Linked DNA regions of Rattus norvegicus. The protein of the gene in region 2 interacts with the protein of the main gene of each other region in a biochemical or structural test. Links are inferred from orthologs where the notes say so. Each region holds a gene or a part of one and is shown on either strand. Other genes may lie near its edges.

Region 1 (15,438 bases), on a different chromosome or scaffold from region 2:
GACTCAACTTCAGCCGTTTAACTATGAAGCCCATGTCCTTTCTACTTTGTCATAGTTCTGCCCCAGGAAAATATGAGCTGCCATCAAATATACAAAGAGTTGGGTCCACTTACCATTAGTCATGATGCTGATAAACAAAACTCAGGGTAATGTGAGGTCCAGAGAAGAGATACCAACGAAGATGGGGGAATTTGTCACACGGCTCTACTCACCTGTGCAAATTCTTCTCAGAGTTCTCCAAAGCCATTATGGATGAAGAAACCACGCAGGAAAGAAACAATAAGCACATCTCACCGATTTCCAAAGCCTGTGTCCTTAATGCATCTCTATATTCTATAACATAATTTTATTTGTCTTTTCTTCATTAAGATACACAGAACATAAATACTAGTGTATTAAAGGAAAACAGCATCAGTAGCTGATAATAAAAGGGTTTTGAAGACTATTAGAGTTTATTAGCAAGAAACATTCAGATATTCTAGCATCAAATGTAACACATACGTTTCTAATATGTACTCCGTAATGTACGCGTTGTACTCATGTGACTCTTTAGAATCGCTCTACTCTCATACATAAAAACACACACAGACATCATTGCACTGGAGGTACACATGCTATGTAGAGAATGACTTGTGCCTCAAACACCCCTCTTATTTCTCTGTTAGCATCAAAGGTGGGCTCAGAAAACATCAGTTAAAAATAAAGATGATGCCAATGGGACACTGGCTTTTTTCAGTCTCTAGCTTATCCATGAAACCTAGCATCCTTTCTCACCCTTGTATAGTCATACCACAATCATGTGTCTAAAAGACGGCCTCCTGTGAGGTAGCAAGTAGACCCACCCTGGAAGGTGAGTTTAAAGGTTTTTTTTTTCTTCAATGGCTAAAATGCTCTTGGCCATTTAACATCAGACAGTTCCTTCTCTTTGCCTCTGCATTGCCACACAGCAGCCCAAAACTTTATGTTCCTCAGGAACAGTCTTCTTCCCATCTGGCTCATGATGCAGGCATTAAGGACCACTCCATGGACCTCTAGAAAATGAAGGGTAGCTGACCTGTTGGACCTTGTGGTCTTTGTGGCTCAATTGGTCTTAAGAAGACTCTCATTGAAGACAATATTCCTGGCATCCATGATAAAGAATAATAGATCATTCTAAAATGCTTTTTCCTTTAAAGCTTATATAAGCCAAAAAAGGTCTTAGATTCCTCAAAATTGATCAGAGAGAGTTGAGATATGTTGACATATAAATGGTCAGCAACGGTAAGATTAAATACTGCCCCTAGGTAGCTGCTGTGGGCCCATATCTGGCCAGTAGTGCAGTAATTCAACTTCTTCTCCTCCATTAGCACCAGATCCCCAGGATACTTAAAGTTCCTCATATAGACCTTGTGGCTTAGGGGCTGGCTGTTGCAAGACTGACCCCGGAAGTATACTTTGGAATATACGAAGTACAACCCAGCCTCATTGATCACAAGGCCGCCTTTCTTATACTTCACTCCAGAGATCAAAGCAGTTCCATATGTGTCTTCCCATTCCAGAGGGATGGACCTTGAGCGGGGGTTCCCTGTAATAAACCAGAGAGGAGCATTCAGCCAGAAATGTTCACATATCTGACACTCTAAGCTTCCAAGGCAAAACTGTGGGGCCTCCCTTAACAAAAGTTCTAACCAGAATGACAGCTGATGCGAGTGACTTAGGAGTTAAAACATGGTCCACCGCTGAGTTTCTTCAACACATTTGTCAAATTCCCCACCTCATTTTAATCATCCATGTGTTTAGGACAAATTCGGTGTGTGCCTCAAGTGAAACTCGGGGAAGATTATTAGGATAACTTCAGTACTTTGTAATAAACACTTTATGACCTAAACTAGTACCAATACTTCCGGGCTTAGGGACCCCTCCATAAAGAAAGGGATCTCTGGAGCTCTACATCTGGACAAAGTCTCATGATTATGTAGTCCATTCATTTAGTATGGATTCCTTGGCCTCTTCTTTTGGATTAATCCCCTTCCTTTGTATTCATACAGGATTAAATGGACCAACACACAGCAAGTACTCAATAAGTGTTTATAGACCCAGACTTCTCTAAAGTCTCCAAGTGATTACAAGAGCCATGCTAGACCTCTTATTGTGATATTTACCCACATTTTGGATGTTTATTTTCCTAGTGGAGGGGCTCATAGCAATTGTACTAAACCACTTTTTCACTTTATAATCTTAGGCTGAAAGCCCACAAATGCCAAGACTGTCTCCTCTTGCTCGAAATAGATCATCATTTCACCGTCTGCTGCTCCCATTGGATCTACATCACAAGTCCCCCCCCCCCCCGCGGACTTTGAAATGGTTAAAAGGAGTATATGCTTTGCATGGGCAAGATCAAATCATACACAATTCCATAGCAGTGGGTTTTGTCAGATTAGGGTCATGAGATCCAAGAGACAAAAGAACGATCTTGAGTGATAACTACAGTTGTCAGTCATACTTTCCAAGAGCTGCAATGGAAAATGAGCAGTTGGTCCACATTTTTCCAAAGGCTTCCTGTCCCCCACCCACTCCTTCCAGACACAAACCTGTTAAGTGGGCCACACTCCTTGGCTTTTTGGTTTCAGAGGGTGTGCTGGGGTTGGCTGCATAATAGAGAGATAAAAGACATGTGAAAATTATTGTGATAGAGAGACCACCTACTATCTTAATGGGACTACAAATCCCATCATTTAAATATAAGATTTTCAGAGCCTAAGATGAAATATTCTAGTACACACTCACCGAGAAAATCTAAACTGGGAGACTCACAGGAGTCTGTATTTCAAAAACTGTTTAAAAAGACAAGATAGGGGAAAGGCAGATATATGCCTAAATTGCATTGCAATAAAGCAGTGAATACACTTAGGTAGAGCTTAACTGTCACTCCATTTAGAGCTTGCCTTGACCCCTTTAGGTTAAGATTACTGCCCTAATTATGATTGGCAAAAGATCCTAGAAGCTGACTGACTATAATGATGGAGGCAATCAATGTGCACCCAGGCTGTTAATCTGGGGTTCTGTATCCCCTGATTCTGCTGACTGATACGAGTCTAGAAAACACTACTGATTCCCCTCCGGACCATCAGCCTACATCTATCCCCACATGGACTCTATTAAGACCTCCTCACAGATCATGAGGTTGTCCAGGTTGCCTTTGCCTCACTTCCCTTCCGTCATCACACCCAGTGCTTGCCCACAGCAGGAGTCCTGTGACCTGATTATGTCCTTTCTTCCCTGCCCCTGGGCCTTTGCTCATTCTGTCTGCAACACCCTCCAGATGAGATCTCAGGGTTAAATTCCCGTCAATTCTCTAATGACGATCTTCACTGCTCTTTTGTCAACTATGACCGTTCAACCTTCGAAACCAAAAATCCCTCTGTTTTTTCCTTTCTTAATACTTCTGGCTTCTCCTTACTGAGGCAATTATAAAAAACTTGTCTTTCCTTCCTTCTTGTCGAGGAAAACTGCACCTTTCTGCAATAAACACTTTATGACTAAACTAGTACTAACACTGCTAGGCTTTGAGAGCCTGGCCACCAAGTCTTTCCCTACTGGTATTTTACAATATGGTAAAGTCACAAGAGCATTTAGCCTTGTTTAGCATAGCATTAGTAAATTAAATTGATGTAATTAAAATTTATAATATTCTTAAAAATGAACACTATTTCTCTAACTTCAAATACTTCAGCTAAGGTAGAACTCTCGTACTGGGCTTCATGAATTCAGCTAACTGATACATTAAAAAATATTTATAGGAAGGTACTTGTCCACCTCAGGTTTGGAAGTAGACTATGAAACACACACTGAGTGTGAAAATAGCCCGGTCTATTTAGATCATCATAGAAACAACTGTGTCCTCTCTAGCACCTAGAACCAGCCCCCCTTGAAAAAAAGGGAGGAACAGGATAGGCAAGACTAGACCTTTTATACACCACAAACCACCTGAACAGCTAACCTGCCACACACTAACAGGAAATGAAGCTGGGAACCACACGCTGCTTATCTTTAAATTCTTCATACAATCTAGTATAATGTTACTTTCATAAAATATACTCCCATAAATATCTGCCGGAGAGGTTCTAGCAATATCCAGAAATACAAGGAAAGACTTTTCCTGCCTCAGGCTCCTTACATGTGAAATGTGGAATGTCCTCTCTGCTCCCTGACCATGCACACCTCTTCCCTCCAAGAGAAGAGGGGTCTGATTGATCCCTTGTGCATCAGCACAAACCACTCTATAAAGGACTTTCCCAGACCGCTCTACTCTGCATCCTTCTTAGTACGGATTGGAATTGTATTGTTGGTTCGTGTTTGTTCCTCTTCTCTACTGTGCTTGCTGAGAAAAGGCATCCGTCTTTCTCTCTCATCCTCAATCACCAAGACTCAGCCTCTGTCATAGGAGGCTCTCTAAAAACCTTGTAGATACATAAGATGTCCAGTTAGCTAACCACGGGGAAGGTAACAGTATAAAAAGATGGCTGCTGCGTGAGAAAAGGCACTTGCTGCCGAGTCGGAGCTCCTGAGTGTGATCCCTGGAACCCACAGGGAGAAGGAGAGAACTTATTCCCACAAGTTATACATGTGTGCTTGTGTATGTAAACACACAAGAAAAAAAATGTTTAGAAAAAGTATTTTCTTAGAAGTTTAAAAACATGCATGCATACTTTCATAATGAGTATTAAACTGAAAATGGCCTTTGATAACTTGTCTGTTTACCTAACAGTATGAAGAATATGCTATTCATGGCATTAAAAGTCTCACAAGGTGGTTTGGGTTGCTGTTCGTGATGTTCCCCTATTGATGTGCCGAAGTGTATTCAACTCATCTTCTACTCTGAGAGTTCGGTTTCTTCCAAACGGTTGTCGTTTTATCAGAAAGCGATGAACACTCCCAGCCAAAAGAACCCTTCGGTGATGCGATGACAAGGTAGACTGACAGTTCAAGACCTCGGTATGAACTTTCTTAGTGTTCTTCAGAATTCTTACAGCAATCTCCATGCATGCTGGATGAAACTTGTGCCAAACGTGGCTTTTCCTCTCTCTCTCTCTCTCTCTCTCTCTCTCTCTCTCTCTCTCTCTCATTTGATAATCTTTGGGGTTTTTTTCTTTTTATGAATTTGATTGAAGAAATAAATACTCCTTTTTTTAAATAAGCTCCTCTTAATAGTAAAGTTTCAATTTTTGACGTTCTTGTGATGGTTTATCAATTTCTGAAGATAACCACTGGGTAGGCGACCTGACTCATCTGTTCATTTGACTTCTCTTCACTAAAATGATTCCATCGAGTGGGTGAAAATGAGTGAGTGCCATCTGTTTCATAAGCCACGCTCCACTGATTTTCAAAATGATTTCATTTCAGAAATCCTGAGAAGTTTCATTTTTCTAACAAGTCATTTTCCACTGTGCCTGTGTAAACTGGGCTCTGGTCCTTAGAGACTTGAATGCAGAGCTGAAAACCAGAGCACACCATAGTGACCCCTGAAAGAGCTTATATCCCCTTCCTTCCTTCCTTCCTTCCTTCCTTCCTTCCTTCCTTCCTTCCTGTCTCTCTCTGTCTGTCTCTCTCTCTCCCTCTCTCTCTCCCTCTCCGTCTCCCTCTCCCTTCCTCCCTTTCTTTCTTCCTTCTTTCTTTCCTTCCTTCCTTTCCATTAATTAATTTATTTATTCACTTTACATCCGGGTTGCAGCCACTCCCCCATCCTCCCTCACACAGTCCCTCCTCCTACCCCTCCTCTTCTCCTTTGAGAAGCGGGAGCGACCCCCACCCCCATCCCCCCCCCCCCGATATCAATCCACTCTGGCACATCAAGTCACTCAGGATTAGGCACATCCTCTCCCACTGAGGCCAGACATGGCAGCCCAGTTAGGGGAGTGGGATCCACAGGAAGGCAACAGATTCAGGGACAGCCCCCACTCCAGTTGTTGAGGGACCCACATGAAGACCAAGCCGCACTGAGTGTGGAGCCAGCACTCCTTTTGATGGAAGGTTCGGTTTTCTTCAGTTATTAGGATAAAACTGTTGTGTTGCCCTTGCAAGAGACACCAGCTTTGCATTTGCTTCTCATTTCTCAGCCGTTATTGAAAGGTGGGAGTTTCTCTGTGCGTTGTAAAGTCTTAATAGATAGCAAGGCGTCAGGGGACTGTTCTCTTAGCCCCAGTTTCATACCAGGGAAGCTGGGCATTGAACCTAATTGGTCTAATATTGTGCATCTAGTATTTTTGCCTCTGTCCTTAGGAGTCACAGTCACCACAATGTAAGATGGGACCAAGATATCCATGGAAGGAGCCAAGGGAAAAGATCCAGGGCTGTATGTGTGCTCCTTTCCAGTCAAGTCCAAATTCTATTGAGTTACGTTCGATATTCATTCAGATACACTGATATTGAGCAGTAAACTACCTTTTCACACTGAACAAAGAGTTAAAAGTTCCTCAGGATTTTGTGCCTAGGAATCATGAGCCCAAGAATGGGACGGAATCTCAAGCATCCTCACAACTTTGTTGAGTGTTGAGTTCCTCCGGGAACTCAAAAGACAGACATAAAAGTACTTACCTATTTGCTTTTCAAAAGATGATACTCTAAGGCTGTGGTTGGTGAACTAGTGGGGGGGAAAAAAGAGTCATAGAATAAATGTGGAGTTATTTAAGCCAAGGAGGCAGAAGTCACAGCAGTCCATAGAAAGAGGACTCAAATATGTCAGACCCTGACTGAGTTAGAGTTTGGCCATGCAATTGTATCTAGAGTTATAGTAAGGCTTCTAAGTCTTTTCAAAGAGATTTATTTACACTTCTGAACAAGATTTAAAGTTTATCTTCTTCCTTGAATCACTAAATATGAAGCAATAAAAAGTTCATCAAACACCATTGACAAGTGAGAGAAGAATAATTATTTGCTTCGAATTGTCTAGAAGGTGGAAAATAACTTCCTTTGAGCAGTGGTTCTCAAGGGAACACCGCAGCTCTTTAATACAGTTCCTCATGTTGTGGTGACCCCCAGCCATAAAATGGCTCCCCCACTAAGGGGTCATGACCCACAGGTTGAGTGAGGATCACTCTCTTTGAGGGAGTGAACGCCTGCTTCTCCAACTAGAAAGAAGAGACTATAACAACTCTTTTCTAAAAGCGAGGGGATCAATAAGATCTTTGCCATTCAAAACAAAACAACAGCAAAAACCTCAAATCATTGCAAACAACACAGTGGCCCACATGGGCCATAGCAAGTCCCTACTCCCACACAGCAGAGTCCAGGAACTCAAGGGCCTATTAACCCATGTGCTAGACTTACCTCACGGAGTTCTGCCAGTTCCTTCTGTAGATGAAAGAGTTGATACATTCCTAACCCCATTCCAACCAGAGCCACCAGCACCATGAAAAATATCACCGGTAGCCACAGCTCTATGTTGTCCTTCTTCTTTAGAGGGCTTAGTGGAGGCAGCGGGGGTGGTTGGGAAGGCGGTGGTAGTGGTGATGGAGGTGGTGGTGGAGGCGGTGGTCTCCTTTGTCCTGGCCCTCTAGGCCCAGAGGATGGACAAGAAAAAACTGACCCTGGAGGAGCCCAAGGAGAAGTGGCACTGCTGTCTACCCAGTAGATCTGGGGACATGGGTAATTCACGGGCTGCTGCATGGCACCCAGCCCCAGGAAAGGGTTTCCTCCTCTCAGTCTTGTGGAGACTGAAGTGTCAAGGACAGGACTCTGATGCTGACTGCTCCAGAGAAGGTAAGTGAGTTTTCTTTATAAAGTTTCCACAGTCAAGGGAAACACCTCTCTCCAGTTCTCTTCTCTTTGCTTCTCCGTGAGACACCCACTCATTTGCATCTGAAGCTGAGAAGCCTTAAAAGAAAAAAAAAAGCTCACAGCAACCCCAGGAAGTTTCCGCCCACAAATTTCTGACGAAAACTCTTCGAAGTTCCAATTGGCATCTCTGTGCTCACTGGTAAACCAGGCTTACCTGCCTGAGGTCCCACTCAGCAAATCAGCGCTGGATACCCCTAGAGGACATTAGCTATTCCACAGCTGCAAGACCTGTGCTATGGGGTGTGTCCTGTGAGGGCTGTTGGTGCTAAGGCACTGGGAAAAGACCAAGGCGTTTGGCTAGGGAAGCGATCTCTACAATCCGAGCACAGGGAATTTAATCCTCAATTGCTGTCCTTCCCTCTACCGAGCCCCCATTTCATAGTTGAGAGGGTAAAAGTCGCCCCACCCATTCCACAGATTGGATCAGAGGTTACAAACCACCACCAGGCCCATATATCCTTGGTACCACAGGATTGCTTTCCTATCACCAATGTTTTTGGTTCCCTTAGTTGCCCTCTTTCAAAATTGAGATCGCACGCAATAAAAATGCGTACTTCTATTCTCTTTGGAAACAGAAGAGTAGGACACATCCCCTGGCCATCTCTGAACACCAGGCAGCCCTGCCCCCACTGCGCCTGCCTCCTATCCCACTTCCCCTTCCTACTCTGTAATCATTTAACTTCACAATCCCTATTCTGGTTACCAAATGAAACTTGAAGTGCCTAATTCAGAAGAGTTTGGGTAAGCGGTAAATAATTCTTTTCTATAGCAAGTGTACCTTAAGCATCGCACAGGACAGACTGAGCATTACTCAACATTTACAGCAAATTTATGCCTTTCTAAAAACTGACCACTCCCTAGGTTTGATTTCAGTCTTCTGGCCCCACATACACAGCATTTATGTATGCCTAACAACCTCTAAGAACTCAGCCTTGGTTCCCATCACTTCCCCATATAAACCATACAAATCCCAGTAAGTTCCTATACTCCACCTTTTTTTTGGGGGGGGGGCAACTCTACTCTTTAAGAGGTTTTAGTTTTTATCTTCTGCGTTGGGATGTCTGGGATGAGCACCTTACCTCTCTCGCCTATGCTGAAAAACTCCCAAAGTGTTATATCTCTGCTACCTTCATCCTGATCCGCCCCAGCTGCTAATTCTCCTGAGTCACTCTGCTGCTGGCAAGCTCAGGCTGCTCTTTCCTTTTGCCCCCGGCCAGCCAGACCTGCTTTTTCTCACCTGCGACACATTTCTCATCTTCCCCTCCTTCATTATTCCCACAGCTGCTCTCCTGGTATCAGATTAGTCTCTCCTGGCTTTTCTACCTCAGCTCCCAGCCTTATTCAGTTATCGCATCTTCAGTTATTGTCTTTCCACATCTCTTTGTCCCTCTTTTGAATCATTTTTTTTCCATAGAGGATTCGAAATATCCAACCCCTACTAGAGTCCACCAATCCCAGGGAGAGAGTCCTAGCTGAAAGAGACAAGAGAGAAACTTGTGGAAACTCGGTTGGCGTTTGGTAGTGCCGTTCTGTAAGTGGCAAGACTGAGAAAGAATAAACACCCCTGTGAACAGACTCGGGGAGCCATTGCATTGGTACTGAGACCTTGTTAATGAAAAGAAATCGCCATTCTAAGTAGAACGTAGCTCTGTAGCTGCTGAAGGCAAATGGAGTGCAAGAGCCAACAGGCTGGTGGCCTCTACTTTCTGGAACCTCAAATCGAGTCCTTGCAGCCTCCTACTCCTACGACTCCAGGGAATTAGCCTTAAAGTTGGCTCGATAGACTACAGGCCAGAGCTCCAGGGGTGACTCAGGAGCAGCAGAGGGTGACACAGAGCCAGGAAATCTGCTATTTACCTTAATGAGCCTAGGGAAGCCCTTTGAGGCAATCTGCCAAGCAGACAGACAGCTCAGACAGGAACTTCTCAAACGTGAGCAAAGACCACACAGCACATCCCAAGTTTGGGTTTGTGAATTTATGAACGAGAGCCCACTAGTTCAACTTCTCTGAGTACCTCCAGGGATGCTCAGTTGAGTCCCTTAAAACCTCTAGCAGCTAATGAAGGACCATCCTAGCCTCTGCTTTTATCTCTGCTTTGTAAAATGCTACCCACCTTTCCGATTTCTGCCAGCATTATACCTACAAAGAGAACCTCACTGTCTATGAGCTGCTTTCTCACTTGTTTCTTGTGAGTTTGAATATCAGTCATATATTTCTGGGGCAATCTACTTTCCTGTCGAGTGTATTTTTCTGTTTGCCACTTAAAAGGTGTTTACCTTCTTGTCTTAGTTAGGGTTTCATTGCTGTGAAGAGACACCATGACCAAGGCAACTCTTACTCAGCCACACATTTCACTGGGGCTGGCTTACAGTTTTAAAGGTGCAGCCCATTATCATCATGACAGGAAGCATGGCAGCGTGCAGGCAGACATGGTGCTGGAGGAGCCGAGAGTTCTACATCTTGATCTGAAGGCAGCCAGGAGGAGCATTGGGTAAAGCCTGAACATAGGAGACCTCAAAGCCCAGTAATTCACTTTCACCAACAAGGCCATACCTCCTCTAATAAAGGTCACATCGCCTAATAGTGCCATTCCCTGTGGCCAAGCATTTAAACACATGAATCTACAGGGGCCAAACCTATTCAAACCTCACACCCCCTCCATTCTGATTTTCAGGATCTTCTTATACTACACACACACACACACACACACACACACACACACACACACACACACGGTTGCCTTTAGACATTGCAATGTCTTCTCCCATACCCATACAGACTTCACGTGTGGGTTTTAAAAGATCCCGACCTCACTTTTGCTTATGAGTCTGGAGTCTCTCTTTAGGTTTCCGTTTCTATGTGTATGACAGAAGAACTGAGAGAAACCTGTTTAGAAGACAGAAAGATTGATTTTGCCCATGACATCAGGGGGTTCAGTGCATGGTTGGTGGCATGGGTGAACATCATAGGAGGGGTTTATTGTAGAGCAGAGCTGATCACCTCATGGTAGCTAACCAGCACTGGGCTTGCTTTTATAACAAAGCTCCTCCCCGCAAACCTATTAGGCATATGTAGATTAGTCAGTTCATGAGATCAGAATCTTAAGGATCTAATTACCAGGTTCCTAGAAGCCCTCTTATATTGGAGAGCATGCCTTGGATGCTTGAGCTCTAAGGAGACTTCTACAATTCAAACCAGGAGCCAGAAGGATGGCTCAGCGGTTAAGACCATGTCCTTTTTTTGCAGGGGACCTGACTTCAGTCCCAACTCATCATAGGCAGCTCACAGCTACCTACAGCTCCACAGTGCACAGTGCCCCCTTCTGGCCTCCCAGGCACAGGCAGCTGCATTCACAAGCACATGCCCACACGTAAGACACACATGCACATACATACTTAAAAATAAGAAAGAGAAGTTTCGGAAGTGCACACCTTGTACTATGTATGAACTGATTTCCTCAAGCCCATCCCTCCCTCGTTTCTTCTACTGAACCACTGTGGCATAGTTACCATGGTTCCACTGATGACATCTTATACCTCTCATTTTTGTTTGATCTATCCGTCCATCTTTCCTGGTAAGAAAATTATGCAGCCACACCTTCCTCTCTGTGTCAGGAACCTCAGAGGCAGGAAAATCCCAACTCAGACTCCCCTTAAAAATCAGTCCCAGATCCTGCTAAGACTGAACCCCCAGTGAACTAGACTGTTGAGGGGAGGGCGGCAATGGGGGGAGGGTTGGGAGGGGAACACCCATAAGGAAGGGGAGGGGGGAGGGGAATGTTTGCCCGGAAACCGGGAAAGGAAATAACACTCGAAATGTATATAAGAAATACTCAAGTTAATAAAAAAAATAAAAGTTTAATGACCTAAAAAAAAATTATGCAGCCCTCATCATGGCATTATAGATGTGGATTTCTTTCCCCTTTATAGAGACAGAGTGTCTCTATGTACCCAAGCTGACTCCCAACTCAGTATATACCCAGGCTGGCCTCCTACTTGTAGCAATCCCCCTACCCCCTTTTCTTAAATTCTGGAATAACAGATGCTCACCATCATGTCCAGCAACTTTAGAGATGTCTTGACTGTTTTGACAGTCCGTTAGGCAAAATCTTTCTCTTTGCTCTGAAAAAAAAAAAAAACCCTATTTGCGTATTTTTAATCTCCCACATGTGTTAGCAGAGAAAACACTCATGTTTGAAAAACATCCCACAGACTAGTAACTACAATTGAAACAACCTGAGAGAAGTGCTGGACAAGGAAGTGTATCATTGTCATTGTTAAGAATGACGTATTAACATATTAACATATTCTCTTCATAGGTGAGCCAGGGAAATGAGGGAATCCTGGTGACAGAAACAGGACGCATTCAAGCCAAGGGCATTGTTTCCCAACGACTTGCACTCTTTCTTTCTGTTACTGTTTGCTATCCCTCTTTACTTCCACCGACGTGATCCAATTGGTTCAGGAAAATCTACTAGTCAGAAAACACTGTTTACTGCAACTTAGTAGGTGAATGTCTAGACCTTGCCTTACTTTAAATTGGATAGGTTCACTCCTCAAAAGAAAGAGGGTGTGGTAAGTGTAACGTGTTTCTTATCACACCAGACTGAAGAGGGCTGTGGTCGGGCCGTGATGACAGTAGTGATGGGTAGAAATTATTCTTCAACCCTTGATAACACATGCGACAGTATTGTTGTTTTCTCAGAACTATTTGCTTTCTTCCTTCTGCAGCTCATGGATATCAGTCAGGGCTGGTCGGGGAAATGAAAGTTACTCAAACTATGAGGAGCAATGGAAGACTTAATATAATGAAAGGCTAAGTGTTTTGCTTTGTTTTGTTTTGTTTTTAAGGTTATGAAGGCCAACTTTTAAAACGTTTAAGGGATACAACCAAAACTTCCAGCTCCTAACAGCATTGAGTCTGGTGATGGTTAGGGGGCCCCAAGAATGTAGAAAAACACCCACAGTGGCCTCTGCTATATTTAGCTGTCCTCTAGGAGCTACTGTCAAGGGCAGCAGCTTCTCCTTCCCACCTTCTAACCCTCACTCAGTTGTCACTTCCCAGTGAACTCTACTTAGTATCCTACTTGTAATGGAGAATGGGAATGATGGTTGTCATCTCTGGCCCTACTCTCCTGGAGGCAGGGGTGGGGGTGGGGGGAGTGGAAGGGTGGAGATGCTCCTGAGTATTAACAAATTGTATGTTGTGCTTTGTATCTACTTAATTCGCCATCACTGAATTCATAAGTAGATCCTTGGCTGATTGGTGAAAGCAAGAGAGTCCCAGGTCAGGAACAGGACATCAGCCAGGAATGCTATGTACTCTACGTGCCCAGATGTTAGGAGTTGCTTGGTAGCTCTCCTGTGGAAGCCTGAAGACACTGACTTTTCCTTCCTTTCACTAAGTTGGTTCATATGATTCTATGCTACTTTGTAATTTTAATATCTTTTCGCGGCACCATTTCAATATCAGTGGCTTCTCATTGACCTTAGGGTAAAATATGAACTCTATATTTATTTGAACTTCTTTACTTCCACAGCCCTGAGGTATCTAGGCTTCAGTCACACCATAAGTTCACAGTTGAGCCAAAATGATAGCCCAGAGAGGGCCTAATGTGAGAATGATCATAAGAATATTTAAAACTAGCTCATAAGCAGTGTTTTCAAGTGCCTCTCAAGGGTGAAGGGTCTAGTACCTATAGAGGAAGTGAGGCGGGGTATGAGGCACACCTCATAAGTATCTAGTAAGACTGGAAATATGTGCGTCTCGTGGGCACGTATTTTTGAGACAGTGTGTCATGTACTCCAGACTGGCCTCAAACTCACTGCATATGTAGTCAACAGTAACTCTGAACTCCCAGTTCCTACACATCCACCTCCCAGGTGTTGGGATGGCATACCTGTGCTCTATTACCTATTTTGAGGCACCTTTCTATGGGACTGTTTTTGATGTTTGAACTTCTACATTAGAAAAAAAGAAAAACACATGTCACGATGGGTTTGTGGGAAGTATACTCACCAGAGGCTGACTTAAATGTCAAGGTCGTTGCATCTGGCACCCACTGTTTCCTCTGAGTACTTTGCAGATATTGTGTAGGGCATGCAGCTGGATGCTTCAAGAGCTTCCCAACCTTAAGGTAATCTCATGAGAAATCACTTGTAAGCACGCAATTTTTCTGTCACAGGTTTACTTGCTGTCTGTCACAGACCTTGGAAAAATAGGGAAATTAGAGCCTGCTTTAGTAGTTGGTTATTTTATGAATAAGATCCCTCCCAGGAGCCAAATTTGAAAATTATTGCCACTGCTTCTGTTTTGGATAAAACATAGACTTGGTGACTTAAACAATAGAAACACATTTCCTCCCAGTTTGGTAGACCAGAAGTCCAAAGTCAGAGTACTATAGTAGGTGGGTTCTACCTGCCGAGTTTTCTCTTCTTGCCTTGCCCCTTATTTCACAAAGACAGTCACTGGGCTTCAGAAACATAAGAGGGTTCCCCCAAGATTCCAAGATCCCACAGGCAGAAAGGGAAAAAATCAGCAAGAAAACCTGGCCTGTCTCCTAGTGCTTTTCCACAAAATCAGAAATGTCTGTAAATGAAAACACCCAGCAGCTGGTCTCTGCTCAAGTTCAGCCACGTATGTGTTCAGCATCTAGGATACCTAAGACACCATGAACGCTGCAAGGGCAGGCAGGACAGCCCCGGGGTCTTAAGGAACTGGGAGTGCCTCTAATGTCATCCTCCCTCTCTCTCCACTTCTCCTGACCATTTATGGTTTTCATGAGCAAATATGAATGCAGTGTTCTTTTGGACTAGATTGAGAGGAAAAGTGGAAAGAAAGAGGCATTTATTCAGTGCCTACCACACACCAAGTTTTCTAGGAACAATATCAAGCAACTTTATTTGATTCTCGAAGGGACTTCTCAGGTAAGTATAATGATCCCCACTTGGCAAATGATTCAGGGAAGTTAAAGAACCCATGAGATGGTTGGACTTGAATATGAATTCAGGGCTTTGTAGTAGACCTCATTACACCCATTGACTTCATCTTCTTCTCATGCCTGTCTTCTCGTCCCTGCAGCGTCTCACATCCTCTCAGGGTGCCTTCGAAAGTAAAGCTCCCCAAGTGTTGCTTACTTTTTTTACTGTTAGTAAACACCTGACCAGAAGCAACCTAAGAGAAGGATTTCGGTTTTGTTTGTTTGGGGCTTAAAGTCAGATACAGTCCATCCTGGCAGAGGTGACAGTAGTTGGTCACATTACATTTGTGGTCAGAAAAACACAGAATAGACAAGAAAGTTGAGCAAGGTTATGAAAGCTGTGCCCCACAGTGAACCACCTCCTCCAGTACATTCTACTTCAAAGGCCCCACGGTCTCACACTCCACCCCCCAAGTAACTGGAACTCCCTTCTCCTTTCTAAATTCAAGCATCTTCCTGGGGAATGTTTCAAGGTGTGGGATTTTAGAATCTGTCATCTCTTACAGATGGTTCACAGGAAATCCTCACCAAGGGCTTCCTGAGATCAATTCTTAGCCCTTGGCTGAGGTCAAACAACTTACCACTTACTGTTGGGTTGTGCAAACTCTACGAATAGAGCTATATAACCAGACCGCAAAGGCAG
Region 2 (14,925 bases):
AATGACAAAGCACCTGGTCCTGAGTATGGTATCTCAGTTATAGCAACCAAAGCCATGGAGTTCTTTCTATGTTATTAACAATATCTCTGAGGCTGGGGACACAGCTCAAGGAGAACGTACTTAGCCAGCCTTGGGAAAAGCGAAACACAAACAGGACAGCACATGTCCCCTTATGGGGAATGCTTTGAGTCAATGATGTTCTGAACGGCACTTGTTAACAGATATTAAGTTAAAATATGCAACACCCATGCTTCTAACCTGCTGGCTAATAGAACTTCCTGTTAGCTCAGTGCTAGAGTACTTGTCTACCATGAGTGAGGACCTAGGTATGATTTCCAGCATTGAAAACAGTTACTGACATATTGACTATCACAGCACGCTCTAGTCAGACTTGCAGGAGCAATTATTAATTTAGGATTATTACTCACCTTGCTTTCTTCCCTACACTCATTTTTCCAAAGACTTAAAAAACAATGTGAGGGCTTAGAAGTATCTCTCTACCAGACTGAAGGCGAAGGGAAAGAAAATCATGATTGATAGCCATTTCCAAAGAGCTAACCAGGAAAGATGGCTACTTAGGACCTTTTCTTCAGGGATTCCACAACACGGGGATTTAACTTCCATGGGTTAAAAAACATTAACTAAATTTAGGCGCTACCTAAGCGTTCCACCTCAACCACATCCTCAGACCCTACGTTAGCAATTTAAAGTAACATTCAGAAATTTCAATCATGCTGAAGAAGAAAAATAAGCTGTTTTAGAATTATGACTACTCAGACTTTGTGATTATGTAATGTCCTCTTTCTCTTACTTTCTGACTTCCCAGTACTGAGTAGGCTTTACACTAAAGCTGAGGGTTCTCTGATCACTGTAACACTTTGCTATGCGACCTGCCTCCTTTAGGGGTCTGGACTGGGGATGCCACTCACCCTTGGCCATGAACTCGGTAATGATGTAGATGGGCTCCTCCTTGGTGACCACGGCATACAGCCGCACTAGCTTGTCATGCTGCAAGGTCTTCATGAGGTTGGCCTCTTCCAGGAATGCTTGAGCAGACATGGTGCCAGGCTTGAGGGTCTTTACAGCCACTTTTGTGCTGTTGTTATAGTAACCTGGAGAGGACCGAGAGCAGAGCATGCTGGTCAAATGCAGAACCCAAGTGCTGTGCTTCCCAAATGTGGCGCTAGGAAGCTTATTTATAGACAGGAAGCTTAAGATAAAACATACTGTGGTGTTAAATACCAAGGGCACAGTGACTGGAGGGTTTGTGGGAATTCTTTGTACTCCTTTACGGAATGCTTAATATTTATTGCAAAATCTAAAAGGTTTTATACAACAATAGTTGTGAAAACTCTATATGCAATTTACCATGAGGAATAATATTTCCCTCTAGTTAATAAATAAAATGTTATTCAAGGCAAAATAAACAAGAAAATTAAAACTTTATAATGAGAAAGAGAGAGAGAGAGAGAGAGAGAGAGAGAGAGAGAGAGAGAGAGAGAGAGAGAGAATGAACATGCAAGGGACAGTGTAAAAGAAAATACATCAACACACATTAAGCACTGGTTATTATTAATGAAACAATGCAGACAATTTTATAAAGTGGCTAAGTACGTGGTTTGTTTTGTTTTGGTTTGGACACTATGTAGGCTTGGTTGGCTTGACTCTGGTGTTCCTCCTGCCCCCATCTTTTGGTTTCTGTGGCTTGAGTGTGTGTCTCCATGCCTGGGTTATATCAGCTATGCGGTCAGGAAGACCTCCTGTAGACCTGTAAAAGCTGCTTATATACACACTTGAAAGTATAATACCCTAGGGTCAAAGAAATATTTTCCAAGGTTTTCAGAGGCCTGGTCTCTGGCGAGTGCCCATGCTGAAGGCAGGTATCACACCTGGCTACCTCTCCTGGCACTCTTTGGGCAAGAAACCTGGATTTCTTCAGTGGTCTTTCCCACACCTTCAGGAACGCTGGCTCGTGGAAACCCTTGAGAAATGCCAACTCTTTAATGTAGCTTTTAAAGGTCTCACTATTTTGGAAACTGCTTCAATGAAATGCCTGTATTTTTTTAAGGAAGTCCTTTTTTCTTTTCCGGTAATTTGGCAAAGCAGAAAAAAAATAATAATCAAAATTCCCCTTTCTCCGTCTGTTTCCATAGGTCTCTTGAAAAATAAAGTTGAGGAGGGATGTTCGGCTGGTAGCACCCTAAAGATCTGCTAGTGTGTCACCTGCTGTGACAGACCTTTGCAGCCACCTTCAGACAATGGCTTGGGAGTGGACAGGCCCCTTCGCAGGCTAGTAAGTCAGCTGTGGCAGGCAGCAGGCTCACATGACAGTGGCTCTGGGTGACAGCATTTGGGGTGGCTTCTACTTGTTTCTTATCTTTTCTGTTTTTATTAAAATCAACAATGATTATGCCTATTTTTCACAGAAGGAAGTATTATTGTTATTTTTAAAGTATTTTCGAAATAAGCAGACCAAGAAAGCATTGATTTCTAGGAGTGCCTGTAGCCAGTGATTTTCTTCTGGCCGTTGAGAACGAGTTCTCTGGGTGGGGGTGTAGCTCAGTGGTAGAGTGCCTGATGCCCTCCATCCCCAGCCTTGCAAAGAAAGGAGGAGGAGAGGAAGAGGGGGAGAGAGGAGGCAGAGGCTGATCTCTATCAAAATAATTCCTTTTTTTAATATAATACTCTGTGATGCTTTATAGTGTAGTAAGATTGACAAGTGTAAGTAAGACCATGGAGGAGAAATGCGAAGAACGTGTTAGAAATAAGCTTTAAGCAAACCGAAGACAGCGATAGAAAGGGAAGCAGAAGCTACCTCTTAAACATCAGAGAGTGCTGAGTAAATTACATTCACTTGTCTTTCAAAGGTGAACATGGTGTCTCTTTATTTGCATTGAGAGCAATTGTAAAATGGATCCCATCCATTAGTCTTTTAAATCATATTGGAAGTGTGCAGAGGTAATGAATACCTGTTGTTCGTGCACAGGACCCAAGTTTGATTCCCAGCACCCACATAAAGCTCACAAGTAACAATCCACTCAAGTTCCAGGGGGATCCAGTGCCCTCTCAGGATCTCTGGAGCATAAAGCCTGCACACAGCACTACACATACACACATGCAGGTTAGACATTCATGCTTGAAATGAAGTGAATAGACCTATAAAAAATAAATTACACTCAATCACAAATTCCATTATGGTATTTTTAATTTATAGACAAGCCCTCAGTTCTACGAGCATACTGATAGAAAAACATAAGAAAATGCACTCTTGGAATAGGGAGGGAGTTAGCGGTGATTACTCTGCAAGCACGAAGCCTGGAGTTTGGATGCCCAGCGCCCATTTAAAAGCTAGGCATAACCCTGTGACTTCAGTGCTGATGGGGCAGAGATAGGATTCCTCGAGCTCACTGGCCAGTGAGTCTGACTAGGTTAAGGAGCAGTAATTCCCCTGGCTCAATAAATGAGGTGGAGAGCAAATGAGGAAGACACCCAGTATCAATATCTGACACGCCCCACCCCCACGCACACACAGAGACGGAGGGGCAGAGCACGAGATTTTCCATGACTTATACAGCCGACAAGGGACTAGTATCTCGAATCTGTAATTGCTACAAATCAGTTTTAAGTAGCTTTTATATGCTTTCCAGAGGCAGAGGTAAACGCTCGGATGCACATTCTCAAAAGGAGAGATTACAATGGCTCAGATGAACCAAAGGAATTTGATTGTATTAGTAATCAGAGAAACGCAGAAGAAACTCTCCAAACCAGCCCGGCTGACAGAAATCAAAAAGTGTGTTGATGACTGTAGGTAAATGCTGGGGTTCGAGGGCCGCTATGGCTGCTCCCTCAGTCCCTGCCTTGGCTATTTTTTTTGAGCACCCCTGAATGTTAATGACAAAGCGTTGTGATGAAATCCCAAAGGGCCTACAAAAGTTGATGACAGCAGCCTTCTGAGTCACCACACAGGCGGTGCTGCTCTGGAGCCATGCTGTAGGCACAGGTCCACTGTTCCGGAGAAGGTATATTGTGTATTGCTATGAACAGGTGAAACCGAGACCTGTTGACAGTATTAATAGGGCAATGATTCATCCATGGTCTTTCTTATATAATCCATAGAGATTGGTCTATCTATACAGTCCATAGGTGATTGATCTACGATCCTGGAGCACATAAAAATCCAAGGATATCTTTCACATAAAATGACACAGTACTTGTTTCCAACTTGTGCACATTTTCATGGATACTTTAATCACCTCTAGGTAACTTAAGATACCTAGTGAACGCAAATGCTACGTACATAGTCGTTAGACTATATTGCTTAGGTATAAAGAAAGAAATGAACAGAAAACCCTGTATCATAAGTGTAACCCTCTCCCCAAATATTTTCCACCTAACACAGGTTGACTCCAGAGACATAGAGGCCTGACTGTACTTTATGACCCAGCAAATCCATTACTCCTAGAAAAAATATTCATGCACCACCAAAACCACAATCAAAGCAATATTCACAGTAGCCACAACTTAGGAGTAACTCTGATTTTACCAGTGAATGTTGAAAAAAAAGAAGAAAATTCTATATCTGTTGCACACACACACACACACACACACACACACACACACACACACACACACACACAGCAACAAATATGCACTAACTGTTATGACATCCCAAGACATGGATGAATTCATTAAAAATGTCTAATAAAAGAGAAGAAATTCAAGAATATATTCAGTGTGACCCATTAATATTAAGCCCAGACAAAGCTGGAGTAGTCTGTTTGATACATGCTGTACCACACATAAAAGTAGTCAAACTATATACAAAAGACCTTGCACTAAACTATGTATAGAAAGACTTGGCCTGCACGCATAAGCACCACTTCCAGAATCCGTGGGTTTAAGTCAGGAAATTATGACAAAGGTCAGAGTAGCAGCTGTCCCTGGGGGTAGGTAAGGCTGGGATAGAGAAGGGACAAGAGGAACTTTAGGGTCTGACAAGTTTTTTTTTTTTCTGTGAACTTTGTAAATACTTGTTACTATTCGTGCTGTAGCTTTTCTGTGGACATGCTACATCCCCTAGAATCAAAGTTAAAGAAACAAAGTCACTCCCACTCATCAACCCGAGAACAATGGAGCCTGGAAACGTTCACATCCTTTGAAATGATGAAAAATATGCTTTCCAGAGGCAGAGCAAAAGGTTGCCAGGAAAGAGCGCAGCTGCTAAAGACATTGAAAATGCTGATAAGGAATTTGGATTCAGCCGTGACTTAACATCTGTGTCCGCAGCTTTGGAACACCAGCAGACCCACCAAAAGGATGGAGAGTTACCTTTAAGAAAAGCATATAATTGATGTGGGAAGTTGGCTGATTATTAGTTTTAACTAAATTGCTTCTAAATAAGAATATATTGGATTGAGAGATGATTCAGAGGGTAAGAGCACTGGCTGTTCTCCTAGAGGCAAAGGGTCGATTCTCAGCTCACGTGGCAGTTCATAACCGTCTGTAACTCCAGGGGACAGAAGCCCTTTCCTGGCATGTTCACAGTGAGCGTACATACACACAGGTAAGCACTCAAAAACAAGAAGTAAAAACAAATCAATCTAAAAAGAGGGGGGTGGGGGACAGCCAGGCAGTGGTGGTGTGTGCCTTTAATCCCAGCGCTTTCAAGGCAAAGGCAGGCAGAGTTCTGAGTTCAAGATCAGTGTGGCCTGCATAGTGAGTTCCAGGACCTACATAGTGAGATCCTGTCTCAGAAAACCAACCAACGAAAGACTGAATCAAACAAAACTCAAAAATGTTCATTCCTTAAAATAAAGCCTTCCAGAGAGCAAGCTTTAAGAAGTCACATCCTCCCCGTCGTCCCTGTCCAGTCAGATCTCTGGGAATGTTAACAATACACAGAGGAAGCAAGGCACCCACAGCAGACGCTAGCATTGCACAAATGGGAGGAAACAGCTTGACGCAGAGACAACTTTCGCTTTCATCCCAAAGGCCTTCTTCCTGCAAAGGGCAGGTCACATCTGAGGACCTCTTCCCTGTGTTTCAGTCCTTATATTGTGAGAGGCAGTCTGTGAATAACACATCGTGATTAATGGATATTATAATTTACTCACTTACAACGATGATATAACTTTAACTGGCTGGATTTTGTTTTGTATGTGAAAAAGTAGTTCCCGTGTTCCTTGAGGATTAAAAACTAAATCTCGGGACTGGAGAGATGGCTCAGTAGTTAAGAGCACTTGTTGCTCTCCCAGAGGATGCGGGTTCTATACTCAGCCCTGACATCGTAGTTCACCACCATCTGTAACTCCTGCTGGGGTGGGGAATCCAATGCCCCCTTCTGACCTTCCTAAGTACCAGACATTCAAATGTTTCACAGACATACATGTAAGGAAACATCCATACACCTAAACAATAAAAAAAAAAATCTTTAAAAAACAAAGCAAAGCAACGAAACCTGGGCAGTGTTACAGTCTCTCTGTGAGAGGAGGCTCGGATGGGTGGATGGATGTGCACACACGCGGGAGTGAGGCACAGGCACCACTGACTCTGACACGCAGCACCCACAGTCACTCACTGTCCTTTTGGCTTTACTCCCAGTGCTACCTGCTAAAGTTCAGCAGGGTGACATCTTCCAGGTGCTAAGGAGATGCCTAACCAACAGTCAAACTCAGATTCGGCCATGTTTTCTGTTTCTTGTTCTTCCTTCCTGCCTTTTCCTCTCATTCCCTCCCTTCCTTGAAAAGAAAACTTATAAACAACTGGGTGAACGATGGCTCCTGGCACCCAGGAGACCTAGGCAGGGGGATCGATATGAGTTCAAGCTCAGGAGTGAGGTCTGGATAAGACAGGGGGATATGGAGCAAGACTGTCTCACAGATGAATGAATGAATGAGTGAATGAATGAATGAATGTTGAGTAAGTGACACTATTGATGTCACTGTTTTAGTAGTAATATTTTGCTAGAATTTTGAGACACATTACTGTGGGGGACTGGTTAAATGGTGCCTAGAAGCTCACTATATTGTTTATTTCACATCATGCCTGCGTCGTTGAAACAGAACTCACATGTCAGGCTCTTTGTCCATTTCAGGCACACAGCTCGTCATAGTCGTGAGGTTACTACCATAAGCTACTTTGAAACATTTCCATTAACTCTCAAAGATCAATCCCTCAGCAACCGGGCACCCACTTTCAATCTCTGTGGCTTTGCCTGTTCTGGGCTCTTCATATTCTATGGGCACACAGAACGATGCCCCCATGACCAGCTCTTTCCAAGGGGTTGTCCATGGTACGTGTGCACCAGCTCCTTCTATTCTGTGACTATAACAATGTTTGCTTGTACATTACATTTTTGGTAAAGATTCAGGTTGCTTATACTTTTGTTTCTGAGACAGTTTTTGCCATGCAGCCCAGGCTGGCTCCAAACTTAAAATTTTCCTGCTTTATTCTCATAAACGTTGAGGTTCTAGACCACTTCCCTGCTATTATGATATTATGAGTAATGCTGTCACAAACGTTCCTGTTCAGGCTTTTATGGCACGTACTCACTCACTCCCCCCCTCCCTCAGTTGAACTTGTTTCTTAATGTTACTGCTATTTTGCTTTGACTTGGCATTTCTTTCTTTTCAAAATGTTATTTTATGTGTCTGAGTGTTTGTGTATATCAATACACAAGCACATGGCTGGTACCCAAGGAGAGCAGAAAAAGGGCATCAGATGCCCTGGAACTGCAGTCACTGACATCAGAGAGTTGCCCTGTGATGCCAGGAATTGATCCAGGTCTCCTAGAAGAGCAACCAGGGCTCTTTCACCTCTGAGCCATCTCTCCAGCTCCTTCTGTGCTTTTTCACACAATCGTGTGGATGCCAATTATCTCAAAAATTATTTAAAGAAACAAAAAAGGTCCTAAGCCTGAGTGTAGCTGTCACTGAGTTGAGACTTCAAGTGTTTGCCCAGAGTGAGAGAATGAAAGATGGCTGCAAGAGGAGAGAGGATTTGGGCAAGCATCCATGTTCCTAACCTGGAAAAGATAAAGGAATCATTGAGTCCCACATCTGTCTGCATTGAGCGAGCATCTAAGCAGACAGAATTTGGCCCAAGACAGAGAGGAAAGCAAGAAATGAGGCTTCGGAGTGGCCCCGTGCTTGGCTCAGTGGCTGGCAGAGGTTAGAAACCTTCATCATCCCCTCCAGAGTGGGACACTGTTGAACACTCACCCATCCAGACTTCCCCGAACTGCCCTGCGCCGAGTTTTTTCACCAGCTTAATGGACTCCCGGGGGATCTCCCAAGCATCTTTATCCCATGGCTTCTGTGGTTTGGGACTGATGCATGCCTTCTCCAGTCTTCTGCATAGACCATCAGACTGCTCTGAGGTGAGAGGAAGAACAAAGGTTAAGGGATGTGTGCCGGGCTGCAGAGATGCCTCAGTAAGTGAGAAAGCTTGCTGTCAATCAAGTCTTACCAACCTAGGCTCAATCCTGGATTCCCCAACATACACACACAGCAAATGTAAAAGGAAGAAGGGAAAGGAGAAAGAAAGAGAAAGAGAAACAGTAATCTAAGCAATAGAGTTTGTAACCATGGCAGATGGGTGCCAGGGTCCCCTTAAATTCAAATAACAAAGTTCCATATATCTATATCTACATCTACATCTACATCTACATCTACATCTACATCTATATCTATATCTATATCTATATCTATATCTATATCTATATCTATATCTATATCTATCTATCTATCTATCTATCTATCTTATTTAAATTATTCTTATATTACTTATATTACCAAATACAATGTGAACACCATGTTGTAACCCACATTGTTTAGGGAAATGACAAGAAAATCATGGGTACACATTCAGTACAGACACATTTAAAGATTCTTGGCTGGCCAAATCTCTGATGCAGAACCAATATGGTACGGTCTTTTTTGTGTCTATGTAGGAAATCTTGAATACGCTGTTATTTTTATAAATACAACCTGACACCATCTAAAATGCAAATGGGGATACCTTTTGCCTAATCCAACCTTAAAAATTATCGGAAGACAATTTGAAACATTTTGTTTCATTCATTAACACCGCCAGCATAAGTAGACCCTCAGTGAGTGAGTTTTGTCATAGAGCCTCTTAAAGCAGGCAGGAGGAACCCACTACAGCGGCTCCCACATCTGATGTCAGCCAAAATGAGTGGACTTAGTAAGGCCACAGAGGTGAGCTTCACAAGGCAGACACTGGTACCGGACACGAAGCATTGACTTTCTACTTTTAAATATGCCATAGTTCCCGAAATGCAAAACTTTACTGTCAGAGGGTTTGCATGATGGCTAGGCAGGTAAAAGAGCTTTCTGGGTAAGCGACTTGAGTCCAATCCCTAGAACCTATGATGGAAGGAAGGATGGGCACACAGTCCTTTTGCATTACACTCAGAGACATGAATCTGTACAGCTTGTCTTTTGAATATCTACACACGTTAAGAGTATGCCTTGTGTAAAAATAATATATACTTTTCTCCACAGGAAGGGAAACGCACTAGATGTTAAGTAACTGACAATAAGCAAGAAGGCCCCACAGCAATCTCTCTGTGAATGTGGTGACAGCCCCCACTTACTTGCCCAATGTTCTCTATTTACCACGGTGTGAAATCGCGCCTATACAGTCAGCCTGTGTTCATCTCCAGCCAATAGCGCATGGAGGTTATGAGGGTGAAAGACTCTGTCCAACTGTAGGGACGCGTAAGAAGCTGAGTACATTCACCGAGTAAGCCGGGGTGATAAGAAGACAAGGCGAGTGAAACGTACTTTCAACTTACGCCAGCTCACAACAGATGCATGAGAACACATGACCACTGGAAGTCAAGGGGTGTCTATGTTAAGGAAAAACTGCTCATAGAGTACTACCTGCCGCATCAACGGAAAGAAAAACTATAAACTTTATATTAATCGTCATAAAGACGATCTAACTTCTCCTGGCCTTCGGCTTTCACTTACTTTGGTAATGCTTAATCATGTCACTGATACAGGGAAAAGTGATCCTCGGAGAGATGTAATAACCACCATTGTCCAGGCTTCTGATTTTGTAGTGCTTAATGACGTCGCCATGCATAGGGTCGTAATCTCTGACGGAAAGAGAGAAGCTTCCTGTGGGGAAAAGTTAAGCGAAGGCGTGCTTACATGTTACTAATAAAGGCCACGTTATACCGCACTGTGGTACACACTTTATAACGAAATTACAAATATAAACGCATCACAGGAAAGTCCTGCAGCCGGGTGCAGGGATGATTTTCATCCAAACACTTGGGAGGCAGAGGCAGGAGAATCTTGGCCAGTTCCAGGCTAGCAAAGGCCTCAAAAGGGAAAATTAAAGGTACTTTAAAATTTGGACTCGATCAATGACAATAGCATTGTGTTTGCTAGACAAGCAGCCAGTATATCACTTTCCTTCTTCACCGTGGTTTTCCAAAGTCATTTGACTGAATAGAAAAATCGTTTTGAGTTTCCTCTTGACACTTAGGACTCACTTTCATAATAACACAACAAAACTGTAAGTACGACCTGGCCATAATTAAGACTGTTTTCTGTTTATTAATGTCTATCATTTGAGTTTGTCATTTGCTATCAAAATGCAAAACTTTACTGTCAGCGGTTTGCACGATGGCTAGCTAGGCAGGTAGAAAGAGCTTTCTGTGTAAGCGACTTGAATCCAATCCCTTGAACCTGGGATGGAGGGAGAGAACTAATTCTCAAGGATGCCTTCCAACCTCCACGTATGCACTGTGCCAGACAGGCACACGCACGTGTACACATACATGTGCACACATAACATGTACACATACATGTGCACACATAAAAATAACAACAACGACGACGACAACAACAACAACAACAACCTCAAAATTAAACCATCTAAGTGTGGTGGCACAAGCTTTTAATCCCAGCACTTAAGGGGGATTTCTGAATTTGAGGGCAGCCTGCCTAGTCTACCTAGTGACTGGTCTACCTATTAAGCTACAGGTAAGCCAAGGGCTACAAAGGGAGACTCTGTCTCAAAACTGAAGAAAAACCAAATCCAAACCCAACCCAACCCAAAAGTCACCCCTTCATTCCCAGAACCTACTGAATTCTTTATTTTATTCATTCCAGAATCATTTTTTTCAAATGATTTCCAGTGTGTATGGCTGTAGCTTGATGGCAGAATGTTTACCCAGCATGCACGATGCCCTGTGAGCTACATCTAAGGAGACTGCCCAAAGCCCTAAGAAGTCTCTATGGTCTCTAACCACGTACTCACCCTTTAAAGTTTCACTTTCTCTGATCAGGAAAGCCCCGGCACTGTTCCCTGGTGCCAGAAGCTGTCGTTCTGCATCTTTCCTTGTTATGTCCTTGAAGAACCACCTGTGAAGACATATTCACATTTCATAGGTGTTTGGGCAGGGATACAAATGTAAGCAAACCAGCGCCGTGTTCGGAAACACCAGCTGGCTGTGCGAGAGGACTCACTCTTCGGTTTCTAAGGTGTTGACCTTGGCCACGTAGTTGCTGGGGATGAAGCCTTCTCTCTTTGATGAAAGGGACTTAGCTTTCCACCACTCCCCGTGCCTGGAATAGAAATCAAAATTAATGGTCGCAATGGCAACGGTCCTATGGCATTTCTTTTGCAGAGTGAAGGCAAGAGGGAGCATTCCTAGAATCCCTGAACCCAAGGGAAAAGTGCATTCCTTTTCATAGAAAAATATATTTAGTGATAGGAGCAAAAAAAAAAAAAAAAAGCATCCTTACAACTTCAATGTGGCCTGCAGTGCAGCATAGAAAAGAACTAGCAAAATGGCCAACCTTAAAGACGCCAAACACTTCTCACTTACCCCGGTGCCTAAGAAATGTCTGAAAGGATCCTTATAGCAATGGGTGTGGAAGGAATAGAGACTTAAAATTCATGTGCTATAAACTTTATCTACTTTATCCAGAGATAGGCACCATGAATAAAGAAAAATAAAAAAGTAAATAAATAAACAGACCAAGAGTAATTAAGAGGAAGTAAGCCTCCTCACGTGGTACTGCACAATGCTATACTAACCCAAAGTGTGGCAGGAAGGAGAAGCAGGAAGGGCCATGCCCAGAAGGAGCAAGCAAACCAGATGGGTGGGGGTATGTGATTGGTCCTTGAAAGCCTCCATGTTACTCTTCAAATGCCTGCATACAGATCAGACTCTTGTCTGTGAGAAAAGAGAGTCATAGCCAACTCTGAGCTGTACCTGGGAACTGTTTATCCAAACCACAGGCAGCCTGCGTACGCTACCCCTTCAAACAGAGCAAACTGTAGATTTAAAGTATTTAGGTTGGATTTTTTTTTTTTTTGACATGTAGGGGTATCGAACCTAGGACCTTGCATATGCTAGGCAAGCTCTCTCTCACTGAGCAACCTTCTCGGGACCTAAAACTTTTATATCTATGGTTCTTATTATTCTCCATTCAAGTGCAGCATAAGGTTATTTCTACAACAATCACAACCACATTGTGTTAGACAGGAGAAGTTGTCCAGAGATGGTTTGAAGTACGGAAGGTGGTTATTTAGCATAGATGGGGCTCATGGGCCACGTGGTGCGATTTCTAAGGATGGGGTGCCACGGCCACACTGGAAAGTCCGGCTCAGCTTCCTCACTGATTCCCTGCAGCTGCTTATGTGTTTCGTTTCCTTGACCCCTGTGTGTTGACTCACACGCGTGACCCTGGTCAGGCCCCAGGGCAGTGAGGAGGGAGAACAAGGAAGTCTGAGCACTTTAGGTCTAACTTCCTTTCTGTACTGAATTTGCATAAAGCAGCACCCTGACCCTGACCTGCCACAGAGCGAGAGAGTGGATAGCCCCTCCCCGAAGATAAAGCGCTAAGTGCCTATCCAGGGCATCAGGGTGAACTTGCATTTCAACGTGGCCCTTTCTTGTGATAGTTCTGAGACCATGAAGAGTCACTTAGTCTATTCCTGGGAACCTTAACTTTCAAAATGGAGATGACCCTATCTAAGTCACGGGATTATGATGGGCATTATGTGTGTGTGTGTGTGTGGTATGTATACATGTTCATGAATGTGTACTTGTGTTTGTAGGTATGCATTACATATGTACATATGTGCTCCTGTCAGAAGATGCCTCATAGGCATTCCTCAGATGCTATAGGTAGATATAGATAGGTATAGGTATTAAAAATAGGTATAGGTATGTATAGAGATAGGAATAGGTATAGATTAGGTATAGCTATAGGTTTTTTTCACAGGCCTGGAACTTGCCAGACAAATTAGACTGGCTGGCCAGAGAGCCTTCAGGGATGCGCCTGTCCCACCTCCCCGACCATATGCCACCACAAGCAAGTGCTGAACTAACTCAGGATATGACTGAGCTCTCTCCCAAACTCTACAATGGCCGTCTTAAGTAGCATGTCACAGAGCCAAACTTCTTAGGTAGCATTTTGACAAATAAAGAAACAGTAACTGTCCTTGTTGGGAGAAACGATGGAAGGGCTCACCCCTACATTCATAAGGGAAGTTCTTTTTGCTCTGTTCCTTCTGGCACTGAAGCAACTGGGGGGCTGGCATACTTACTCTTCCAGAACTTTCATCTTTTCTCCTTTCTTGAAAGACAAGTCGTCTGGGTGGATGCCATCATAGGGATACAAGGCCACCACAATGTCCCCTTGCTCCTCTGGATCTAAGAACAAAAGATACAAGCAGAGCCCTTCAAAACCTAGCAACATAGACACAAAGGAAGAGAGGAAGCAACGGAGAGAGGGCCGTGGAGTGAAGCTCCGTGCTTCCCACCTGTAAATGGCATGAGGTACATCCTGTGCACACCAAGACCCACAGGAACCCACTATACCTTTAAAACCATGTTTAGGAAAAAATGTACGCGTAATCGTGGCAACACTGCCATAGTCCCCAAAGGCAGAAGCTACCCTAGTGAGCACTAGTGGAATGCATAAAGTGTGACACATACACAGAATAGGACATCCACATACACAGAGCAGTCAGCCTTAAAAAGCATTGAAGTTCTTACACACAATGGAGTGTAGATGAGCCTTGACGACCAAGTCAAACGAGCCAGGCAGGAAATGACAAAGACTATATTTCCAGTTGCTTGTGCTACATAGAATCAAGTCCATAGGGACAGAGAGTGCAATGGTGGCTGCCCAGAGCAGAAGGGAGTGGAGAACAATGAGTGAGTGCTTAATGACAGTGTTCCACTCGGAATAATGAAAACCTTCTGTGACGGACACTGGTGACACTTGCACAGCAATGCGTACTTCCTGTTCTGAGCTCGACATTAAGAAAAAAAAAAAACCACTGAAGCTGTGATAAATTTGAGTTACATATATTTTCCCATAACGACAAACAAAACATGAATAAGGTTGAAAGGAAAACATACCTTTTGCTTGAAATCTCTGTCCTGGTAAAAGTTGAGATTCAGGAACCTACGGAAGAGTATTTGTTAGAGGAAAAAAAAGTCATGATAGTTTTTCTTTTTTCTTCTCACATGCATGCCATTTTCCTAACAGTGACAAGCGAGGTTTAGATTTGCAGCCACTAAACGAGAAAGAAGAGCCAAACAGAAAAATCCTATAGGGAGATGCCAGGGCTCCTAGTTAGACTCTCACACTCGATGACGTCTTTGGCAGGGTCCTACCTGCAAGTCAGTTTCATGGCTTTTCGTGGACATATAACCCTTGGTTTGTGTCAGTAGACCGAGTGGATAGGGCTTCCTGAGATGGGGACTAGATGACAACCCACCAGGATTGTTTCTCATGCTTTTAACAGGACCCTAATAATTGGGGTGGCAGTTTGCCCAGTGTGATGTCTGCTTCTAGACTCACAGCCCTCTACACAGTGGTGGGGAGGAGCATTTCATAAGCTCACTGGTTGGGTATGGCCTTGGTA

What was found.
Region 1: the proteins of Lyn (region 2) and Faslg form a complex in vitro, tested with the Homo sapiens proteins (2 studies listed by BioGRID, with this or other methods). The link is inferred for Rattus norvegicus from reciprocal best matches to the Homo sapiens genes LYN and FASLG.

Annotation. Positions count from the first base shown.
Region 1 is NC_086031.1:76,687,787-76,703,224, forward strand, and holds Faslg (tumor necrosis factor ligand superfamily member 6), read right to left. Parts: upstream 7,718-15,438; 5' UTR 7,645-7,717; coding exon 7,306-7,644; intron 6,620-7,305; coding exon 6,574-6,619; intron 2,628-6,573; coding exon 2,571-2,627; intron 1,565-2,570; coding exon 1,170-1,564; 3' UTR 457-1,169; downstream 1-456. UniProt on the Homo sapiens protein: Cytokine that binds to TNFRSF6/FAS, a receptor that transduces the apoptotic signal into cells. Involved in cytotoxic T-cell-mediated apoptosis, natural killer cell-mediated apoptosis and in T-cell development.
Region 2 is NC_086023.1:21,505,926-21,520,850, reverse strand, and holds part of Lyn (tyrosine-protein kinase Lyn), read right to left. Parts: intron 14,463-14,925; coding exon 14,417-14,462; intron 13,703-14,416; coding exon 13,597-13,702; intron 11,604-13,596; coding exon 11,505-11,603; intron 11,400-11,504; coding exon 11,296-11,399; intron 10,146-11,295; coding exon 9,996-10,145; intron 8,373-9,995; coding exon 8,220-8,372; intron 1,113-8,219; coding exon 930-1,112; intron 1-929. UniProt on the Homo sapiens protein: Non-receptor tyrosine-protein kinase that transmits signals from cell surface receptors and plays an important role in the regulation of innate and adaptive immune responses, hematopoiesis, responses to growth factors and cytokines, integrin signaling, but also responses to DNA damage and genotoxic agents.